Lonchura striata: one gene and its partner. Each later gene encodes a partner of the first gene's protein in a complex. Links are inferred from orthologs where the notes say so. Each region holds a gene or a part of one and is shown on either strand. Other genes may lie near its edges.

The links. The genes of interacting proteins can lie anywhere in the genome.
Region 2: the proteins of SNTG1 (region 1) and TRPV3 are in contact, whole or in part, in a crystal structure (PDB 7QQN), measured with the Homo sapiens proteins. The link is inferred for Lonchura striata from reciprocal best matches to the Homo sapiens genes SNTG1 and TRPV3. Residues at the interface, in NP_001274742.1 of Homo sapiens: Arg62, Gly66, Gly67, Phe68, Gly69, Leu70, Ser71, Ile72, Lys73, Gly74, His78, Ser85, Lys86, His118, Glu119, Val122, Arg126; in NP_659505.1 of Homo sapiens: Pro786, Glu787, Thr788, Ser789, Val790.

What each region holds. Positions count from the first base shown.
Region 1 is NC_134603.1:41,399,874-41,407,973, forward strand, and holds the start of SNTG1 (gamma-1-syntrophin), read right to left. Parts: upstream 3,015-8,100; 5' UTR 2,707-3,014; intron 1-2,706. UniProt on the Homo sapiens protein: Adapter protein that binds to and probably organizes the subcellular localization of a variety of proteins. May link various receptors to the actin cytoskeleton and the dystrophin glycoprotein complex.
Region 2 is NC_134622.1:8,440,577-8,447,744, reverse strand, and holds the start of TRPV3 (transient receptor potential cation channel subfamily V member 3), read right to left. Parts: upstream 3,069-7,168; 5' UTR 3,019-3,068; intron 1-3,018. UniProt on the Homo sapiens protein: Non-selective calcium permeant cation channel. It is activated by innocuous (warm) temperatures and shows an increased response at noxious temperatures greater than 39 degrees Celsius. Activation exhibits an outward rectification.

The sequences.
Region 1 (8,100 bases):
TTCAAACAGGATTTCCTGCCAGCTCATGAAAGCTATGCCCAAAAAGCATGACTGAGAAAACACACACACACAAAAAAAAAAAAAAAAAAAAAAAAAAAAAAGAGGAAAGAAAAATAACTTCTGAGTTTGCCCTGAAATTTCTGAATCAAAGTCAACAATCTTCTCTAGTAAAAAGATTTATATAGAATTAAAACAAAAATGCATACTATAAAGTTAAATATGGAAATCTCAGATTCAAAAGATACAAGCCAAGTGGGATACAGAACATTAAACAGGATTCTAGAATAGCCTTACAGTGAAGTGTGTGATGGCCACTCCTGAATTTTTAAAATTAAGAACTACACACAATGTAAACTAAAGTATCAATATCCAGGAAGGCTTTCTGACAAGTACCATGTAAAATATAAGGAAAACGTGTGAAGGTAAATAAGGTTAATTAATATCTTAAAAGTGGATATTTTTAATGATGTCTTTAAAGACCTCAAGTCTTACCTTCCCCTTTCTTTTCGAGTTTCTAACAGAAAAGCAACATTTTTTTTTTTCTCAGATCTTGTTAAAACTCGATTCTTTAGCCATGTAAAAGAGGGAAAATTTGACTGTAAGTGAAAGTCTAGAGCACCATGTCCTTTAATTCAGTGATGGGGACCTTCATTCGATTACCTCATAGCTATGGGACAAGACACGGCAAAAGCCAAATGATAAAATATTAAATTATATTTTCTTCCTCCTCAGGCAAAGAGTGAGTATAGCATTAGATTAGTTTGAAAGACTAAAAAGGAAGAAGAGGAGTCTGCAATATGCATCACAAGTGACTAATACAATTTTTAAGCCCCGTTTATTCATATAATCAGGCATAAGCACTTATGCTAACTGTGGAAACCTCGAATGTAATACATAGCCCAAATGAATTCCAGATTAGTGCATGCTTCAGTGTTTCATGTTCTCCCTTGCACATGCCTAGTGAAAGCCTGCCACTCTGCAACAGAGGAAGGAATTACTACAACAAAACCATAGGCAGACTTTGCCAGAAACTATACTTTTTTTTGAAATGAGGCAGAATAAGCTGAGTGTTTTAAGTAATGGATAGGTTTGCATCCCACTGTCTAGCAGCAGTTATTCCAATTGTGTTTCACAGCTTCATCAGAGAGGCAGAAATATGAACAAACTATAGGAGCATTCTCCATAATCTGCACTGAAACAAATGACACTCCCTTCAGTCAGAACATCTTCCACCATTATGGGAAAGGATTCATTTATCTTTCAGCTATAAACCTGAGTTAGCTACATGTTCACCATACTGACATCCCAACATTTTTTAATCTTATGATGTCAATCTTGCATCTACGTAAAAATGTGTATTTCAGTGTGTAAAAAGATCTCTTGCTGCTGACAACTCAAAGTGCATTAACTTGGGAAGCCTTGAGATTTCCACACACACCCACACACTCCTTTCAGTACAGATCTCACTGATTAGAAAACAAAATATCCACAACTTAATAGACCTTTCACACACAGTGGCATTTCTGCAGAAGCATACGTTTCCAACACTTCAACTTTTACTTTCATCACTATTAGCAAGTTATTTTCCCAAGTTATTTCCTACACACACACCATGCCCAGTGCCCCTGCTGAAACTACCACATTCACTGAAACTGAATGAGCTCCTAGTGAAACATCAGAGCTTAGCTGTAAATATGTGTAAATACTTTTATTCTGTGCTGCTTTCCTGTTAGAATACAACATGCATCAAGGTCACTGTAACAGATTGCAGTTTTCAGGCTCATAGAGAAGACACTGAGGAAATCAGTAAGAGCAAACTTAAATAAGCAGTGTTTAAAGTTCTGCCTTCTCCCAAACCTGCCCAGAATTCACATCTCTGTTTCCTGCATTTCAGTCAGGTCTATTCACAGGTTCGGGAACGCTATCACTGCTGAAAGGTGAATAGAACTCGTTCTTTGCAGTGTGACCGGTCTGTTCTGAGCTCTCCGAGTTTTTAGCTACAGATTACAGCCCCATGGGCCTCTCCCTTTGAAGTGGAGTTCCTCTGAATTAGTCCCCTGCCTGCAACCTGTCCTCCATACACTGAAATAAATTACAGTCAACTTTTCCCTTCATTGCCATGTCAAGTGTAGCAATAAATATCCACAGGCTAAAAGCAAACAAACAAGACTGGACGAACCATAACCTCACAGCAAGAGCATCTCAAGGAAGAACACCAGGCAGGGCACAAGAAAGTTAAGGGCATAAAAATCAAAACTCACTATCTGAATCCATAAGTGCGTATGTAAGGCTAACATGCTTCTTGCCTCTCTCCCACAAGAAGCACGGGTGAAAAGCAATTAAGGGGCTCCTACAATTTAGTTAGAGTTCAGCAAAGAGGAGAAAGCATTTTACATTATGAAATGCCTGGGAAAAGGCATCATCTCTTTCAGTTGCAGAAGTGGGAAGCGTTGGGACACGGAGCTTCTTTCCCGGCTATGCACCGGAGCACCGCACCAGCGGTCCGCCCGCGGCGGACTCCGGCGGAGTTGGAGCGGGGCTCCCCTGCAATCCCGGCCACCAATCCCCCCCGCACCTCAACCCCCGAGAACTGATGCTGGCGCCGCCGACCATCCGGCCTCGAAACTGGCAGCAACCGATCAGCAGCTGCAAAAAAAAAGTCACTCGAGACGAAGGAAACGCAGCGAAAAGGAAGCAAGAGCTTACTTGCCTATACAGCACCGCCGGACGACCTCCTCGCAGCTGAGAAACGCTGTGCCGCTCGTCCTCCTCCCACCGCTCCGTGCTAGTTCCAAAATAATTCCTCCGGGCGCCGGCACATCCCCGGGCTCAGCCGAGGAGCGCAGGGAGCCCGGCCGCCTCTCCCCCCCGCCCGGTGCCCATGGTGTCAGCCACAGCTCCGGCAACTCGCGCTCCTGCCCGCCGGCGCTACCTCGGGGCGGGCCGCCGGCTAACAGGGCATCGCAGCCCGGCCGCCGCCGCACCGGCTCGAACTCCGCCGCGCTGGGGGGGAGCGAGGGGCTCCCCGCGCCCTTCCCGGAGACGGAGCGGGGGCGCCGGGCGGGGGCGTGCGGGGAGCAGCGCCGCCCCTCGCGGCGGCGAGCGGCCAGGCGAGGCGCGGCCAGGCGAGGGGAGGCGAGGCGGCGCGGCGCCGCCACCGCGGCCGCAGCCAGGCGCGGCGATGCCGGCCCCGCCCGGGACCCCCGCCCGCCCCCCCGCCGCTCCCGGGGCGCTCCGTAACGCCGCCCCGCTGCCGGCGCCAGCAGATCCGGTGACGCGCAGCCCTCCCCCGGGCCGGCCCCCGTGCCGGAGAGGGGCGAGCGGGCGGCGAAGCGGGAGCCGCTTCCCACGGGCAGCGGGAGGGTGAGCTGGACCACCGGCGCGCAGGGACAGAGCGGTCCCGGGCGCGGCGGCGGAGCTGCCGAGCGCCCGGGGGAGGCGGTGTCTCCTGGGCTGCGGGAGAGCCCGCTCGCCCGGAGCCCGCGGAGCTCTCCCCGGTCCTAGGGAGCTGCGGCTGGCCGCTCACCCCGTGCCCGGCAGGAAAGTTATCGGCTCCCCCTCTTTCCTCACTCAACCTCCTCTTTAGTTCAGCTGCCTTGGCTGCCCTTTCTGCCAGCTGTGTGACAGGGTTTCGGCTGGCCGCTCGCCAGAGGGACTGTACATCGATCCCCCATGTAGGGAAGAAATTTGGTGCCGGTTCTATTACTTTGCCTGGCTGGCTTGGCGCGGCACCGGCGCTGCCTTCTCCGCGCCCCGTCTCCCAGCCTCTAACCCAGAGCACGGCTCTGCGGCGACCACCGCCACCGGCGCACAGCCAGCGCCGCTCTTCCGGGCTGCCTCGGACAAGGAGGGGGCCCAAAGGGTGCAAAAGGGGTGAGGGACAAGCTGCCCTGTGCCTCGCGAAAGCCCTGCGTGATCCTCGCTCTCCCGTTCCGCACGCTCGTGCTTCCAGCAGCGCGCACGGTGCCCGGCCGGAGATCCCCCGCAGGCATGGATGGCCCTCGCCGTCGGACAGCGCTGCAATGACACGCTCTAACGCAGCTATCAGTCACTTACACAGGCACACCCATATATATAAAACATAGATATGTATGTACATGCATGAACACACCCCCATACGCATAGGCGGCCGCCGCGGGGAAACCGCATCTCCCCGCGGATGGGGCCGCCAGAAGTCGACCTGCCACGGTGAAGGCAGGAGGAGAATGAAGGCGGCGGGGAAAAGCAGCAGGAGAGAGCCCGAGGGGAGCCGCCACCGGAGCCGCCTCTCGGCGCCGCGCTGGCCGCGGGCTCCCGCGGCGATGCCGGCAGCCGGGCTCGCCGCCCGCCGGCGCTGCGGAGAGCTGCGGGCAGGGAATCCCGCGGAGCCTCTGCGCCTCCTTGGTGTCGGGGAGAGCCCGGCCCTCGTGGGGCTTTTGCCAAACTGAGAGTGAGTGGAGCAGCAGTGGTCTCACCCGCATGCTCTGGGGCCCCTTCTAGCTCTTGGGAATGTTTCTCTCTAGTTAGGCTGAGGATGTCTGGGAGGGTGTCACAATTAAAAGTTCGCTAGAAAGGAGATTGAGCTTTGCTGTTCCGTAGCTTCTCCGATAGTCCTTTTCCCTTCAACTTCTGTAGGCTTCTTCTAATGAAAAGTGGTTTTCACGGGCATCTCACAGTTAAGGGCTTTTCTTCAACCAAGTTGGCAGAAACAAAAATGTTTCTGTTCCTTATGCACTCCTTTTATAAATATTACCTTCAATAATGTGCAGTGAGCTATTGAGGGGGGAAAAGATTTAAACAGACAGCTTAATGCAAGCTAAATGCAAAGCTAAGAGAGTTGCTCCGAAGAATAAAGCTAAATGTTGGGTTGATAAGTGCCTTAGAAAATGCATTGATAAGTTTCATGCCTAATTGAACAGATCTGTACTTCATGTACTTGTCATCTTGAGATACAGATCTTTATCTTTCCTTGTTTACTAGTATTGAATTGATACCAACAGTTCTTGATAGCTACAAACTAACCAAGCTATTTGTCCTACTGAAAGATTGAATAGTTTGAACTGATAGTTCTTCTGACAAGACTGAAAAAATAAATTATTAAAATGGTACATATATGAGGACTGGGATGATTGAAAATCATGTCTGAGAATTTAAATAAATGAAATGTAATGAACTAAAAACTTATCAAAGACAGAAGTGAAGTGGAATTCATGCCCTGCTGGGAAAGTCAACACCCAAGAAAGAAATTTATAAACAAAGTAGAAACAAAAAATATTTTATTACCTTTTAGTTGCTTTGTCTAGAGTCAGTCCCATACTCAAATTTCAACAGGGACAACGTCCTCAGTTTTCGCTATCAGAGTCACCTATTGATTATAGAATCAATACATATCCTGTTCCCCCATCTGTAGGAAGAGCTGTCATTTTTCATGGAGACCTCCCACTTCATTCTTTGTGTGATAATGTAAAGTGGATAGCTCAAGCAAGAAAGGAAATTTCATTTCACAAGAGGAAGCTGTTCTATTTTAGTGCAGTATCTTTCAAACTATTTTAAAATATATTAATATTTATTAAAAACATATTGATATTTATTAAAATACATATAGGTTGCAAGTTTCATTACCACTAAGAATATGCTGAAGATGAAGTCTACCAAACCAGGTGAAAAAAGTGTGCAGTATTTTTTATCATTATCAACCACATTGTGTGAAATAAATGTGCATTCCAGTTTTACACACAATTACATTCATGTTACATTCATGTTGTATTTTTGCTTCAGGCAGAACAAACACAAAATAAGATTTTTACGTATACAGAAATCAGATGTCAGGTAAATTTAAGATGTAGTCAACAACATGAAGCAACATTTATAGTCAGAGAGGTGAGCCAGAATTGTTTTTATGTAGTATGGAATATGTTAATTAAGAAATTTCACGTAATAAGATGATGGTAGATTGGCATCTGTTTTAGATTCTTCAGCTTCAGCAGCCTGGCACCACTCAAGTCACCAACAAGGATGGAGTGACAAAGGATGAGAAGCATTAAAAATGGAAGAAATGGAGGCTAAGCATGAAGAAAAATTGTCATTACTTAAAAAATATGAGAATGAAAGGAAGAATTTTACCCACCAAGCAAGCGAGTGACACTCTTGGTAAAACTGTATTGACTACCTATCTGCAAAAGATCATTTTTCTTCTTTTCTGTTTCATAAATGACTACAGCATCCATTTTTTTTTTCTGAATGTATAGCTCACTTTGAGTGTGGGCAGGGCTTCTGGCATTTGGCAGCCAAACCCTTATGCATGTGTCTGTCACACATAAGCCTCCCTCTGAAAATGCTGGGAAATAAAGGGCAGAGAACTCAGCTTTGAAAAAGTGCATGGGAAAAGAAACTACCAGTTGTAGTGGCCAAGTAACATGAATGTATGAGAAAGATGTTTAAATGCTTTGGGAAATAGAGAGTGGTTTTTGTCCAACATCACTGCAGCATTAGATTTTCCATTCCCGTAGCGTGTCCTACCACCTCTGGGAACACATCATGGCTGATAGGTTATTAATTGGTTCTGTGAGAATAGAATTAATCTATTTTCAATATCCACTTTTGGAAAAGAGAGCAGTCAGAGTAACAAATGTAACACCATCAAGGACAGGTGTCACACTTTATAGAAAGTGGATCACAAGGTCATCGATAAGCTCCTTGGTATTTTGTGTATCAAGGTGCACATGAAGAGCACATTCCCAATTCCTGATGATATAATTTTGGTTTTAACTTCCATTCACAGACTGATAATAATCCACACAACTATGTCAAAAAATATGTGAGTATATTCCCTCTTTTTTCCCCATTTAGTCTAAACTAAGCTTCACAAAAATACTCCATTTACGAGTATCAGGCACCCTTATATAAAATAATGTGTCATTTGTCACCATGGCTTGTAATCTGAAAATATGACTGGGGAACTGATGGAGACCAAAATAGTCTTCTACAGTCTGTAGGTGGCCAAAATATTCTGCAGCTATATTCCATAAAATTCCTTGCTGCCGTGACTTCTTTCTCAAGAACTCTTGTCAGTCCACTTAAAACTCTCACTCACATGGGCCCAAAGAGAGACATGGGGGTTTGTTCAAATTGTAACTAAATATAGTTATACATTAAAATTCCTCTTTTCTCATGTAAACAGGATAGTAGCAATTCCATAAATTCTGCGCAAATTTTTACTTTGAAATTCTGGGCTTTTAAAATCATCTAAAGGCTTGAAAAATTTAAAACCATACAGCTTGAAACCTAACAGCAGAGAATCTCAAGCGACACTGGGAAATTCATAGTCTTAATATCATTCCTTAATCCTAAATTATACATGCAGCCTGTATATCATAATCAGTACTGTTATTATTTATGGTAGTCTATAAATGGCTTGCATCTCATTAATGGGTATTTTTAACAGAGAAGATAATTTGGATAAAATTTTAACAAAGGATTGTAACTACTCTCAAGGAAATTATTAGCATTATTTGCCTTAGTAATTAATTTATTAAAATAAACTATTACAAATCAAAAGAGACAAGTAAAACATCATGGGCTATAAACAGTATGACCTAAGAAAATTATTGATTATATTTTTCTGTTTCATTCTCAACAAAAAACAATTATATTTGCTTTCTCACAATTATCCTATTTCTTCAACAAAAGGAGATAGAATTCCCCTATGTGCATTTAAAAATTAATTGTACACATTGCAAAGTTTGAAAATGTTTGGGTTTTTTTTTTACATTTGGAAGAAAAATAACTCATAAAAATATAATTTGAAAATAACTAATGTACATTCTGTAGGATTTATGAGTCTTCATAAGAAAACAAAAAAAACATAAAACATTATTAAGGATGGGAAATAATTTATTTCTTCACAATTTTTGAAGTGATAGTTAAAAGATTAGACAGTGTAATTCAAATCTGGGATGTGATCTGCAGATAATTTAATTGTTTAAAGCATTTTGAAATATATGTGGGTGCATCTATATTTTATAAAAATGATTGGTATGTTGCTGGCATTAAAGTCAACTGTATATACTTGAGGCAATGCTTGTGGATGGAAGTCTCAGCTCTAGAGTTGAAGCCACTTTG
Region 2 (7,168 bases), on another chromosome or scaffold:
AAAGCAAGAAGGTGAATTCAGGATACATTAAAATTCACTGAAGGTACACTCAGGAAGATTTATGAGGTCAGGGATCCATTCCCAAGGAAATCAGGGGAGTGGCCTCCAAACCCAAGGACAAATGGTAAAAATAATTTGCCTGCAAAGTTTGAACAAAATCAACCACACATTTTTTCCCCCTCCTACTCCACTTTCCTTAATGTGACAAATGTACACACACAATTTTTCTGCTCCTGTCACAGCACTGTCAGTGTGCCTTAGCACCAGGATCCCTTCATTCTGGGAGTATCAAGATACAGAAAGCAGATTGTTCAGAGTGTTTGAGAAGACATGACACCTGGTACGAGAGAGGAGCCAGGAATATCAAATACACTGGTATTGGAGTGAAAGTCTATTAATGCATAAACAACAAATGTTTAATTATGGCAATTTTCAATCCCAAGTACAGAGAGCTGAGAATTTACAGGGTCCAAACAATCCTAAGTGCAGCTGTAATCTCTTGGCACTCTGTGGAATAGGAACTTGAAACATTGGAAGAGACTCCTTACCTTGCAAAGGCTGGCTGAAGAAACAGGCATGGAAAGAAATTTTTATCATGTTTTTTACCATTGGCAGGTGTGCTCACACTAGGAAACATTCCTAGTTTGGATAAATTTCCTAAGAATTCATGTCACAGCTTTCAGAAAAATAATTTATAAAGGGAAAAATATTTTTACTTGCATACAAAGTACACCACAGCTTCTAGTAAATGCAGCGAAGAGCTGAATTTGGAGATTATACAGGAGAGGTGGGAGAAGGGGGTTTGTCTGTGCCACTGGAAATGCCATTCACAAAGTCCCCAGATACATGTTGTGTCACTGAACACACTGATAAACTTTTAGTCTAAGCACAGCACAAACAAATGACTGTTGTCCTGCTTAGTTCATAAATAATTCTGCTATGTACTTTTTATCAAGTACTTAAAGAATACAAAGCAGTGTGTGGGCAAAAACACCCCATCCTGAGGAAGAGGCAAATGGGATACTTGACATAAATCAAATAAAAGGGGACCATGGCGGGGATGGACATTAAACAGCTTCACAAAATAAAGGCTTTAAAGGAAGAGAATAGTTGGAAAGTCCAAAAGTCAACAAAAGGAGTTGTCAAGTTGAGAAGGGCTCAGCTGGGTGGGGTGTGAAGTCAGAGGGGTGGGAGAGCAGAATGAAGAGCTGGAGGAATAAAGATGGAGTTAAATTCCTAAATTCCTCTTGTTTGTGAGTGATGCTGGAGCTGCTCAGAGATGGCAACACCTCCCTGCAAGGGCTGCAGCTCCAAGCCCCATTTTGCAGTCAGTTTTCAGCACAGAGATTTTAGGAGTGGCTCGAGAACAGGCTGCGCCTCTGAGGAGAGGTGGGGAATAACCAAAATAGCCCTGGAGTTGTGTTGGATGATGAAGGACTGCTGAACAACCAGTGATGTAAGGAAGCAGTTTGGCAAGGAAAAAGAGGACAGATTTCCTTAAGTACAGAGGGACTCCACTTTCAAAAGCACAGAGATGTGACTGTATCCCAGCCAAAAAGTCTATTTAAAATGAGATTTTAATCAGCCTGCCCAAGTAAATAACTGTAGGCACCATAGCAGAAGTACCTTGCTACAGTGCTGAGGCAGCGTCTGCCTCATTTTTAATCACAATTAACTGTGTGCTGAGATGAAAATTAAGCTGGGCTCTCAGCAGCTTCCAGTGCACTATCATTTCCTGTGATCTATGACAGAAAGAGGAAAATAGTGCAGCAGCCTGAAAAGTGTCAGATCTAAGCAGTGTAGCTTCCCTAACCTGATACAAAATGTTGTCTTTGGTTGTAACTATTTTCTACTCCCATTATCTCCCTAATTGTCACTTACAGGCCACCAGAGAAGTGGCTTATTTGAAGTGGCCAGCAAGACAAAAACCCTGCATTGATTTATAGTATCAAGAATTACTTTGAAAGGGATCTGAGGATTTGGTATCTGACCTCCAGTGTGCTGGGGGTAAGAAAAGGGAATTTATCTGTGATGGTGAATGGCATTCTGCCATTGCTACACATTATCACAGACTCACCTTCTGCTTATCTTAGAACAGGAAAAATCACACATATTTGTATATCTCAGTAACAGTTTCTACAACATGGCTAAAGAGAGAATCCTATAAATCAGAAGAAAGACTCAGCTGTGATGTTGTGGCACAAAGGTCTCCCCTTCCCTGGGGGCAAGGAGGGGAAGTGACTCCCAAGAGCCTCAGAACAGACCATGGCCCTTCCCAGCACCCACCACCTAATTCCTACTGGCCATAAAAATTAAATCCCCTCTTCGAGGGGAAAGCTGATAAAACTTCATTTTGACTTTTCATAAATAATCATAAATATGATTATTTATGAGTCATATCAACAGAAAGTTACACTCGGTAGGAAGAGCTGCATCTTCCTGTAAGGTTTTTAAACTTTTGAGGGGCATTCATTGGCTTCAGGTGCTACCAAGAATGCTCTTCTTGGTGAGAAATTTTCACCTTCCTATGAAGGTTCTTCCTAATAGAAATTTTTAATAAACTCTGAAAAGCAATATTTTTTTCCCTGAAGAAAAGTGATTTGAAATTATTTACCCGCCTATTTCTGAATTAAATAAAAATAAGAGTTTTTCTGAGTTGAAATAACTTATTCTATACCTTATAGTTGACTTTCAGTGGTCACTACAGTAGCTGAAATTTTTGGTGGAAGATGATGAAGGTATTAAAGTTCTGATATTATGTTTTGGATCCCCTTGGCACAGGAATTAGGAAGTGCAACAGTGTCCAGGCTGACAAACACAAATTAAATCAGGCCTGTCCTTCTTCACTCCTGAATACCCAAGGAAATAGCACAGCTCAGGAGAGCCATTCACAGACTAGAAAAACAGAAACAAGCACAACAGAAACACATTTTCTCTGTGAAGGATGGCTTCCACCTCTGTCTCTGGCAGATTTCCCTCTCTCCAAAGCATCACCCCAAACACCCCTGGAGCACTCACCCCGCTCACAGCACCTCCATGTCGGCGTGGACGGATCTGGGCGGCGAAAACCAAAGCAAAGCCCCGCTGACAACATCCAAAACTCATCTGCCAAAGGACCAAAACCACACTCAGGCTCCAGACTATCCCAAAAACACAAAAGTACCCTGCTCCAGGCATCTGGTGTGCTCAGCTGGGGAGCAGAGCCAGGGGAGCGCCGAGGAACCGCGGCCGCACGGAGTTTGCTCCATCTGAAATTAGGGAGCAGGGAGAAACTGGCCAGGCAACAACTCTTGACTTCAGAGCTGCTAAAGTGGGATGACACACAGGCAGTAATTACACACTGGAGTGTTACCAAAGCTGAGTTGCTCACAGGTGACTTCACGGCAGCAGTGGAGTATCTCAGGTGATTGCTGCTCTGCAGTTTACACGCTCTTTGCAAAGGGAAATGGTCATGCAGCTGCATTTGGGTTGTAAATGACACCTTTATGTCATGCTCAGTTTGTTACATAGCAAGGACCGACTCAGAATGCAGAAAGCAAAAACAAGGAAGTGATCCTAAGTGCTCCAGCAAGCAGAAATTTTTGCTGTTACTTCAAAAATTCACAAACTACATTAGAAAATCTTATAATTGCACAGTGCTGTCAGGGAAAACATGGGGGGTATGTTTACATTTTTCTCTACCTGTAAAAGTTTTTAATGAATATGTCCCCACAGGGGCTGTGGGAACATAACCAGTTGGGCTTCACATCCCTGTGACAGGCAATGACTTTTCTCAGCTTTTCTATTTTGGAGCTGTTGAGCAATGGTGAATGCAGAATTCTGGTCTGGCACATACCAAAAGAGTGACCATAAGTTCCTCTGCTCTTTTTATAGAGTCTTTGCATTATCACCAGAAATAGGATGTGAAAAACTCCTATGTCTTTGTAGTCAGACCTGCAAGGTGTATTTACAGCTGCTGGTCTTGAGTTAATTATTAGATAGGCAGCAAAACAGGAATCTTTTTTCAGCTGTAGACAAGGGCAAAAAAAAGTCAAGTTTGGGTGGTGTTTTTTGGTAGGACATAGGGCAAATTTTGGAAGTAAAACCAAAATATCTTTGGCTACTACAACACAGACATTTTAATCCAAAGACTATGGCATTAAAGTACATCTACAAACTTAAGGTAAGCTCCTCCTGTTCATAAATTATTTTTAAAAACAGGTCTGCTGGGTGTTACATTTGCCTCAGACCTTGTGTGAAATGCCAGGAGCACTGCACAGCTCCTGCTAATGAATCAGCTCCCAGCAGCTGCATGGGGAAAGGGGCTCTGCCTGGGCTGGTTGTGTTTGGCACTGGGGATCCCTTTGGTTGGAGGTGCTGAGCACACAACCAACTCTGCCTGACAAATTCCTGCTCTGTTCCAAACCCCGTGCCAGGAGATGTTGTTCACATCTTGCCAAATGCCTGAACAGAGCTCTGACAACCCAGAGGCAGCTGCTTTGATGGTCTTTTAGTGTAAGAACCTGGAATAAAGATTGGGTCCTGCCATTCCCTCCTGCCTGGGACAGCACCAGCTTGGTTCTCAACACAAACTGCAAGGAACTGTTTAATTGAAGTCACTCTGAGGATGGAAATGGGAAAAGGCATATGAAATCTGGGTGAAGGTGCATTTGAGGACTCTTGCTTTACCTCTGATCAACCACAGTAACAGAAATCCTTTTGCTAAGGAGGGAAAATGAATTTGGCAGCAAGCAGGACTTTGAATTTGGAAAGCAGCTATATCTGAAAGCAGCCAGATCTGTGGGGTTTAGCAGAACACGGCACCTAGCAGCAAGGTCTATTTATAATGTTGTGGCAGTTATCCAGAGAGGAAAAACCAGGACAAGCAGCAGCAAGAGAGGCAGAGCCCTGCTGCCCACAGAGAGGTGCAGGGACTGCAGGAGCTGAGAGCAGCTCACAGCAGCTCCACTCCACCCTGCCTGCTCTGTGAGCTGCTCCTTGCCCTGCCAGGGCAGCCTTGACCCCCTGAACCCCAGTGTGGCCTTTCCTCTCAGATCTGGGGAGCAGGAGCCCTGCCTGGTTCTGGCTGATGTCCCTGAAAACAGAATTTTGGGGTGCTGTGAGCCTGAGCTGGGCTGCTTGTGAGGACAGACTTGAGGGGCAGGAAGTGAGAGGCAGAGCTACAGCCAGTCACATCTGTGCGAACATTTTCTTCCAGTTTTAATCATCAACCTGCTCAGCCTTTTTGTCCCCTGCTCCACCCCGCTGTTTCTGACAAGGGCAGCAATTTCAGGAGCCATGGAGGGTTTTCCAAGAGGCTCTGTCCATGACCATTTTATAGAGTTTTACAGCAGTCACCAGCTGCTGCTCCAGCTACTGAAGAGATGCCATAAGGGTTGAGAACATTAATAACATGCATTTCCTATTAAAAATTACTTGAAAATTTCAGCTTTGGACAGTCTGCACAGCACAAATAAGTAGCAGAAGCCCTACGTGGCATTATTTTGTTTTCCTAGCAAGTGTTAGACTCAGTAGAAACCAAAATGAACAAGATGAAGGAAACCCCAGATGGGGAAGAATGAGCATTTGGAGATTTTCCATCTGACATCAGCAAGTCAGAGCAGCGTTTGCTCTTCTGCTGATACAGGACACCGTCCCAGGCAAACTCACATTAGAAGCTATTCAGATTTTATATTTAATTCTCTGATTTTTAGTACCCCAGCAGATTCACTTATGGGAAAAGCCACTATCTAAATACATTTTTGACCTTGAGTAACATCAAGAATAATTGTAATTTACTTATTGTCATCATTCCATCCCCCAAGCTCCTTAAAAATAATCCAAAATATGAGAATTAAAAGCATACCAGTAGCATCCCACTTCCCCTGAGCATAGTGTTTAACTGGTTCACAGGAGTCTCCCATGATTTTTCACTGTGCTCTCCTCACCCCTCCCCTCAGAGTTAAACTTGTCCTGGGATCACCTCTGTGCGCTGCTCTACTAAGAGCTTTTCACACCTCTCCAAACAACTGATAAGCGCTTGCAAATATTTACACATTAGGCTCGTAAATTGCAAGATAAGAGGCTGCTTTATGCAGCTGAGCAACAGGAACATGAATTAGCCTGCAAGTGTGTGACTGTCACCTACCAAGAGACAGCCTTGTGGGAAGTCATTCCAGGAAAATACTGGGATATATCACTTACCAGTTGGTGCAGTCTGGGCTGCAGGGACAAGTCGGCCTCTTTAGCAATTCTATGATGCATTTTTGCACTGGAGAGCTGATTCCTAAAGATCCCTGCCAGAGAACAGTCTCATGCATGAGGGGATGAGAAGGGTTGCTGGAACCTCCATCACAAATATATTCCCTGCAACTGTGGCACTGTGCAGTTTATTCTTTCTGCTTGGGCAAAAGAATTGTTATCCTAATTATTTTCTGTTCTTCCAAGCTACACATGCTGGACCTGATTCCAGCAGCTGCCCTGAGAGTCCTGCTCAGCACAGGAAGGAACTCCAGTCATGGCCCTCCTCAGTCTGTCCCTGCTGTTTTCTTCCTTTCTGCAGCAGGGAAAAACATTTTTATTCTGCATTTGAGCCGTGCCCTGCTGCATCACAGCCAGGGCTCATATGAAGAGAGCAGAAGAGCAAAGAAAAGCCTGACCCTATATCTCAGTTTCTACCCACTCCCTCCAGCCAAAAACCCAAAGCTGCCTCCCTTCCCCCCTTATTATACCCTCTCCCCAGCTGACAGACTGCTCACTTCCACCTGCATCTCCCTAATTCCCACATCTGTGGCCAATTCCCTATGCAGGCATGGGCTCAGTAATTATTAAGTTGAAATAAGTGCAGTAAAAACCCACTTTATGTTAGTGGCATCAATATTTGACTTCAGGCCACAGTTATCCCTCTTGGCAAAGTGTCAGGGCTACCTAAGCATGAGATCATGATAAGCAGTGGCAAGAATGGATTTGTTACCTTTTTTCCAGTGTGTTTTCCTGCATTTGTGCTGTTCTCTGGCACTCCTGAGGCAAAACCTAACAGCCCAAACTTACAGATTCCTTTGACAGCCCTCTGTGTACAGATGTGCATGTCCAGATGTGCAGGGCGGTGGCTCTTGTCCCTGTCCTGTGAGCATGTCCTGCTGCTGGTGCTGTGTGTCACAGGCTGGGCACACAGTGGGGAGGCTCACCA